2 linked regions of the Canis lupus familiaris genome follow. The protein of the gene in region 2 interacts with the protein of the main gene of each other region in a biochemical or structural test. Links are inferred from orthologs where the notes say so. Each region holds a gene or a part of one and is shown on either strand. Other genes may lie near its edges. The genes, in order: GTF2F1 and GTF2B.

What was found.
Region 1: the proteins of GTF2B (region 2) and GTF2F1 form a complex in vitro, tested with the Homo sapiens proteins (3 studies listed by BioGRID and IntAct). The link is inferred for Canis lupus familiaris from reciprocal best matches to the Homo sapiens genes GTF2B and GTF2F1.

What each region holds. Positions count from the first base shown.
Region 1 is NC_049241.1:54,176,121-54,179,935, reverse strand, and holds the end of GTF2F1 (general transcription factor IIF subunit 1), read right to left. Parts: intron 2,658-3,815; coding exon 2,473-2,657; intron 1,934-2,472; coding exon 1,780-1,933; intron 1,700-1,779; coding exon 1,518-1,699; intron 1,407-1,517; coding exon 1,330-1,406; intron 1,252-1,329; coding exon 1,113-1,251; intron 941-1,112; coding exon 823-940; intron 731-822; coding exon 526-730; 3' UTR 478-525; downstream 1-477. UniProt on the Homo sapiens protein: TFIIF is a general transcription initiation factor that binds to RNA polymerase II and helps to recruit it to the initiation complex in collaboration with TFIIB. It promotes transcription elongation.
Region 2 is NC_049227.1:60,037,065-60,040,879, reverse strand, and holds part of GTF2B (transcription initiation factor IIB), read right to left. Parts: intron 2,818-3,815; coding exon 2,671-2,817; intron 2,539-2,670; coding exon 2,409-2,538; intron 1-2,408. UniProt on the Homo sapiens protein: General transcription factor that plays a role in transcription initiation by RNA polymerase II (Pol II). Involved in the pre-initiation complex (PIC) formation and Pol II recruitment at promoter DNA.

The sequences.
Region 1 (3,815 bases), on a different chromosome or scaffold from region 2:
CGCCAGGTCCCCATCCCAAGTTGTAAAACACAAGAATCAATCATGGAGAGGAGTCAGGAGGCCCGCAAGCGTCAGGAACCAGGTGCCTGGCAGAGACCGTGGTAAGACCAGACGCTTAAAATGTGAAAGAAGGGGTCAAACCACAAGCAGATCTGCTCTGAAGAGGAAGCAGAGATGAGCCGAATGGAGAGCCGGGCCTGGGAGCCGAGCACTTCATGGGTTGGGGGGGGGGGGGGGGGGGGGGGGGGTGGGCACAGCTGAAGGCAGAACCGGAAGCCAGCTGGAGGGACGGCCGCCCACGCAGACACGCAGAGAGCACCATGGGCTGAGGACTAAGGAGCCAGCTCCAAGGGGCAGGGGAAGGTTCCCGGAGGGAGGGACCTGGGAGACCAGAGGACGGCCCGGGGTGATCCCGCACTGACAAGGGGGCTCTGGGACTCAGGGAGCAGGTGACAGACAATGCGAGCACCCAGGAGGTTCTGGCGACGGAGCCTGTTTATTGGGCAGGTGGGTGGGCGCCGCCCGTCACTCCTTGAGGGAGAAGTGCATCTTGTCGCTGATCATCTTGCGCTCGGGGTTGAGCCGCTTGAGGATCTGCGCGAGCACGTTCACGGTCTGCTCGCTGCTCAGCCCCGTCTTCTTGGTCTGGAACTTCTTCAGCAGGTCCTTGGTGGTCATGGGCTTCCGCGTCAGGTAGCGGCGCACCGCGTCCTCCGTCACCTGCACGTCTCTGTGGGGCCAAGCAGAGGGCGGCGTGGGCGGGCGTCCGCAGGCGGCCTCCCCACACCCCCGCCCCGCCCCTGCCATTCCCCCGCAACGTACCCGCTGCTGGGGGTCGACTTCCCCGACTGGGGCTGAGGGGTTGACTTCCCCGACAGGCTCTGGGGCCCCGGGTCCAGCCGCAGACGCTTGGCCACCGGCGTCTCATTGGTCCGCTTGCCTGGGGGAGCGGGAACAGGGCTGAGTCCTGTGCTCGAAGTGGGGGAGCCCAGGCGGAGGGGTGCCAGGATCCCAGTGCAGGGGGCCCAGGGGGCACACAGGCCTTGGCTCCCGAAGCAGAATGCGGGCCAAGGGTGGGAGAAGAGGAGGCAGCGAGGCTGGGTCCCGCTCACCCTGCTCCAGCTTGTTGGCGGCGGCCCGCAGGGTGGAGGACGTGCTGCCACTCTCCGCGCTCGGGCTGCCCGGCCGGCTGTTGCCCCGAGAGCTGCCTCCCGACGGCCTCCGCTCCCGCTTGGGGGGTGTCTTCTTCTTCTGTGGAGATGGGGTCCGGGACATGAGTCTACAGATAGCCCGTCGCCTGCCCCCTCCCGCCCCCGGGCCGGGCCATACCGCCATGAAGAGGGCCGAGGACGCCTCGCTGTCAATGTCGCTCTCCTCCGAGCTGTCCGACTCGTCGCTGCTGTCTGCTGGGGGCCAGAGGAGAGGTGTGGCTGCCGGGGTGCCCACCCGTGCCAGCCCCGCCTCGGGTAAGGGGCTAGGGGGTGGGGGGTGGGCTGGGATGCAGGGAGGGGACCCACCTTTCCTACGCTTCTTTTCCTGGGGCGTGGGCGCCTTCTTCTCCTCCTCCTCCTCCTTGTCCTCCTCGGGTGGCTTCTCCTCCTCGCTCTCCTCGCTGCTCTCGCTCTGCTCGTCTACGCCCTTGGGGCCCTCCTCCTGCTGGACGACCTTGGGCTTGCCCTCCAGCTCCTCCTGCGAGCTGCTAGAAGACAGAACGAGAGGGTGAGGGCCGGCCTGGGCCATCCTGGCCCCAACCCCTCGGCCGCCTCCTGCCTGCCTTACCTCGAGCCGTCCGACATGTAGTCCACCTCCTGGCCCTCGAAATCCCCATCGTCGCTGTCCTCGAAGGCCTCATCATCGGAGCCCTTCTTCTTTTTCTTCTTCTTGGTCCCCTTGGTGGGTGGTGCCTTCTTCTTGGCCTTGGGGGCTCTGCCCCCTGCGGAAGCAGAGGCGGGCTCAGGCTGGCGCTCATCCTATTTGGTGTATCCGAGGAGGTCCGCCTCGGCAGAAGCCCCCGAGGACCCACGTCTCCCAAGCAAACCCGACCAATGCAAGTCTACACCCCTGACTCCCTCTCTCCGGTTCTCACACTCAGGAACGCCACCTCCTTCCCTGCATCCCCCAGGACCGGGTACCGACAATCAGAAACCAGCCTGTGGCCAGAATTATTTGAATTGGCCAACCTGAAGCTGTTGCACCCTCTGCCCCTCCGCATTGCACATCCCGTGGGAGCCCCAATAAAGGCCACAGCTGAGACCTTCCTGTAGCTTTCTGCCTCCTACCAACTCAGGTGCTTGCCCAGTGGCCTGTGTAGCCTGCTGAGCCCTGCTCTCATTCCCAGGGGGCTGTGACTAAGCTTCAGTGGCACTAACCTCCCTGGGCCATCACTCAGACACCTTGACAAAGTACGACGCAAGCACAGATCACCAGGCTGTGCGGATCACCCAGTCACCCCGGGGGCTCCACCGGCCTCACCTTCCTCACCACTGGCCTCGCTGTCGTCAGACGACATCTCCAGGTCATCCTCCAGGTCGTGGATGCGCAGCTCACTGGCTTTCTTTCGGCTGCGCTTCTCCTTTTCCTCGTCTTCCTCCTCCTGATCCTGATCCTTGAGCCGTCGCTGCTGCATGATGCTGAAGTGGTTCAGGACTTTGTTTCTCCTGTGGGCAGGGGAATGGGATGCAGTGGGAGGTGACAAGGGGCCTAACTCCAGAAACCGGGCCTCCTAACTGCATCTACACCAGGCACTCCCCCAAAGGGGAACCATAGACACAACTTTGGTGATATGAGGGATGATCACAACCCTGGCAAGTAACACCCTGAAATTACATGCAGAGAGCTGAATTTCTTTGACTCCTTTCAGTCCTATGTCCCTCAAGGAGAAGCTCTCAGTGGTTTGGTATCCCAGCATCTCTCAAGCTCAAGGCCTTTCCCAGGCAACAACAGAATTTGGCCACAATGTATTTACATCCATGTGTTTTTATGGTAGTTTATGGGTGCCTTTGTTTTTATGACAAATAATACTGCTGTTTCCATTTACCGTGATGGTAAAAGTTTTTAAAGTTTTTAAAAATATGACTATCTAAAGAGAGTCTTAGGATTGTATCTAATAGCACAAGCAAAGTTCATCAGTGGCATGGGAAGGAGTAAAGCTCTTTGATACAAGAATGTGAGTGGACTTAACACTACTGATTAGTACACTTAGAGTTGACAAATTTTATTGTGTGTTTTTTAGTTATTTTTAATTATTTTTAATTAAAACATGGAATGAGGATCCCTGGGTGGCGCAGTGGTTTGGCGCCTGCCTTTGGCCCAGGGCGCGATCCTGGAGACCCGGGATCGAATCCCACATCGGGCTCCCGGTGCATGGAGCCTGCTTCTCCCTCTGCCTGTCTCTGCCTCTCTCTCTCTCTTTCTCTCTCTCTCTGTGACTATCATAAATAAATTAAAAAAAAAAATTAAAAAGAAAATTTAAAACATGGAATGAAATACTGATATATGCTACAACACAGATGAACCTTGAAGACCTGCTGAATGACATGCCAGTCACAAAAGGACCAATACTGCATGATCCCACTCGTATGAGGTCCCTTGAAGGGTCAACTCAGAGAAGGAAAGTGGAATGGTGGAAGCCAGGGTTGGAGAAAGGGGGCAAAGAATAACTTTCATGAGGACAGAGTTTCAGTTTGGGAAGATATGAAAGTTCTGGAGATGAATGGTGGTGAAGGTCGTACAACAATGTGAATGTACTTAATGCCACTGAACTGGATACTTAGAAAGGATGAAATGGCAAGCTTTTACATTACATACATTTTGCC
Region 2 (3,815 bases):
AGATGAAGAGGAGGTATATCAATACAATGGATACTATTCTGCCTTAAAAAAGAATAAAATCTTGTCACTAGAAAGTATTATGCTACGAAGACTGAGAAAGACCAATACCATATGATTTTACTCATATGTGGAAAACGAAAACAAAAAATTAACAAATAAAAACTCATGGACACAGAACACACTGGTGGTTACAAGAGGGGAAAGGAGTTGAGTAGGCAAAATGAGTGAAGGGAATCAACTATATGGTGATGGCTGGTAGCTGGATTTTAGTGATTACTTTGTAGTATGTAACATATGTCAAATTACAGTTGACCCCTGAACAACTCAGGGATTAGAGGGTGCCAACTCCCAGCACAGTCAAAAATCCATGAATAACTTTTTACCCTCCCCAAAACTTGAACTACCAGTAGCATACTGTTGAATGAAAGCCTTAGCAATAATAGTCAACATTTTGTATATTATGGATTGTATTTTAACAAAAAAGCCAGAGACAATATTAATAATATCATAAGAGATGGGACGCCTGGGTGACTCAGTGGTTGCATCTGCCTTTGGTTCAGGGCATGATCCTGTAGTTCTGGGATTGAGTCTCGCATCGGGCTCCCTGCATGGAGCCTGCTTCTCCCTCTGCCTGTGTCTGCCTCTTTCTGTGTCTCTCATGAATAATAAAATCTTTAAAAAAAAAAAAAAATCGTAAGAGAAACTACACTTACAGTACTGCACTATGTAAAAAAAAAAAAAAAAAAATCTGCATATAATTAGATGTGTGAAGTTCAAATTTGTGTTGTTCAAGGGTCAAATGTATAATATTGTGCAACTAGAACTCACCTATGGCACATATAGTATATATGGTATATATGGTGTACACACACAGGCACACACGGTATATAACATACCAGTTACCTCAATAAAGAACAAAACATGCCTCTCAATACTTCCCATAGAGCTAATTTAAAATTTCTCAGTTAATTTTTTTAAAAAAGATATATTTAGTTTTAGAGTGAGCACGCACGAGCAGTGGGGAGGAGGAGGGAGAGAGATTCTCAAGCAGACTCCGCACTGAGCCTGAAGCCTGATGCGGCACTTATCAATCTAGATCACATGATCTCCCTGAGATCATGACCTGAGCCAAAGCCAAGAATCAGATACTTAACTGACTGAGCCACCCAGGCACCCCCTCAATTAATTTAAATGTTTATCACACTTTAAAGAAGTCTTTGAAATGAGTTAAATGTCGGTTTTTATTATTTCAAAATACTAACAAGTTTCAATTCAAAGAAACAAGTTTTTTCAAATAATCCAAAACTCCATTGATATTTATGTATAAATCTTTTGTAAGGAGTGTGTATCAAGGAGATAAAAGAATATACTCAAAGCTAAAGGATACTTCTCAAGCTACCCAATGTCATATGTATATGCAATCCCTGGGGTCATAGGCTATAACAACAAAATGAGATCAAGTATTTGACTCTGTTATTCTAAAAATTAAACTACCAAACACAAATTTAACAAAAGCCTTAGTTTTAGTTGTAATAAACAAAAAGATGAGGAGGATAAAAGCCACTGCCTCGCCCCGGTGGCTCAGTGGTTTAGCTCAGTGGTTTAGCCCCGCCTTCAGCCCCAGGGCGTGATCCTGGAGACCTGGGATCAAGTCTCACATCGGGCTCCCTGCATGGAGCCTGCTTCTCCCTCTGCCTGTGTCTCTGCCTGTCTCTATATCTCAAGAATAAATAAATAAAAATTAAAAAAAAAAAAGCCACTGCTTCATTGTAAGATATTCATGGGTGAATGAAAGGTAATGAAAATCTTAAGCTGAAATGAACTCTGGCGGAGAAAGTCAGAGCAATAAGGGTCACAGACAGCAGCACTGTGAATAAGCTGTCCTATATTAATCTTGAATACAAACTGGATGAAAAATACTAGTTCTTTCAAACCCTCCAACTTAAGGGTGAAAGTGCAAACTACAGAACTTGAGAAAAATGTCCCTGATGTTTTCTAAGGCTTGACTCCTTCACCTGTAGAGACCTGTGCATGGTCTTAGAAATAGTTTTCTGTGCATCAAGTGTACAGACTTAACCAGTAACAAAGGTATACTCTGGCTTATGATAACAGGCCTCAAAGGCCACAAAATGCAGTCAGCTCAAAAGATCTCACAAGCAAAGAACACAGAGCTTACATGGACTAAAATGACTTTACATGGGAAAAGAGCCTGAGAAGAACATGGTTCAGATCACAGAATTAATTTTTATCAGAGAACAAATTAAAGAGGTATTTTTGGAAATGATACCAAGATGGATATCGTACGTAACCAGGGAAACCTGACTTAGTTATGTGGTGTCCAAGTTCCTTGACTTTGGTCTGTTACTTTAACACAGAGAATATTTGTATCTCTGCAATTAAAAACTTACCTTTGAATGTCCTAGGAACCCCTTCTTGTCTACAGGCAATATAGAGACAAGCGGAAGCTATGGCATCATTAGCTCTTCCCTTCAGGCTCTTCTGTTCATATACTTGCTTGAATAAATTATTTGTTCGATCCTTCAAAGCAAAGAAACTAAGTTTAATTAACTCTAGGCCATTTAATTAGTTGCAATATCAAAATTTCATGTGTTCAATAAATTACACTAAGTCAATGTCAGAATGGCTTAAAGGAGACAGACAAAAACTTACAACTATATTTCGGGGGAGGTTGATTCTGTCTGCCATAGTAGTGATTTCTTTGAAAGCATTCATCATTGCCCGATCAGAACTACTCATTGTTCTCCGATTTTGGTACTTAGAATTGCCAAATTCATCAAAACTTGCAGCTCCTGTACCCTGTAAAACAAGGTTTTATAACTTTATGCAAAAAAATTTTTAAATCTGAATGAATAGACATTTCTAAGGAAACATAACTTATACACTCTGTATAAGCCCAAGAAATCTACCCTGTGCCTCCTCTCTAATCCTCAGTAGAATAAGTACCAGGTTGAGATGGTGTAAATGAGTACCTGTGAGAGAGCTCAAGAGTATAAACCATCACCTAATAGACCTAAGGAGAAAAATGAAAGGATCATCTCCAAAGGTGCTATAAAGGCAAGCAAATAAAACTCAAAAGCCATTTTTTTTATTACAAACTCACAAAATATTACAAATGGGTATTTCTTTGTATTAGAAAATCATTCTCCCAGGCCCAAAGCCAGCACAATTATTAATGGGAAGAAAAGGCATACCTTGTTTTATTGTGCTTCATTTTACTGCACTTTGCAGAGACCGTGTTTTTGTACTGTTAACAAACTGAAAGTTTAAGGCAACCCAAGTTGAGCAAGTCTATTGGCGCCCTTATTCCAACAGCATTTGCTCACTTCAGGTCTCTGTCACATGTTAGTAATTCTTGTAACATTTCAAATTTATTCACTGTATTTCTTACAGTGATCTGTGATCTTTGATGTTACTATTGTTTTGGGGCTCCACAAACTGCACACTTTTAAGACAGCAAACTTAATAAATTTGTGTGTTCTACTGAGCAGCTGTTTCCCCATCTCTCTCCCTCTCTCCTTGGGCCTCCCTATTCCCTGAGACTCAACAATATTGAAATTAGGCCGATTAATAACCCTATAATGGCTTCTAAGTCAGAGGAATAGTCACATGTTTCTCACTTTAAGCTGAAAGCTAGAAATGATTAAGCTCAGTAAAGGAAGGCATGTCAAAATCCAAGGTGGGCTGAAAGCTAGGTCTCTTGTGCCAAACAGCCAAGTTGTGAATGCCAAGGAAATTAAAAGTGCTACTCCAATGAACACACAAATGATAAGAAAGTGCAACAGCCTTCTTGCTGA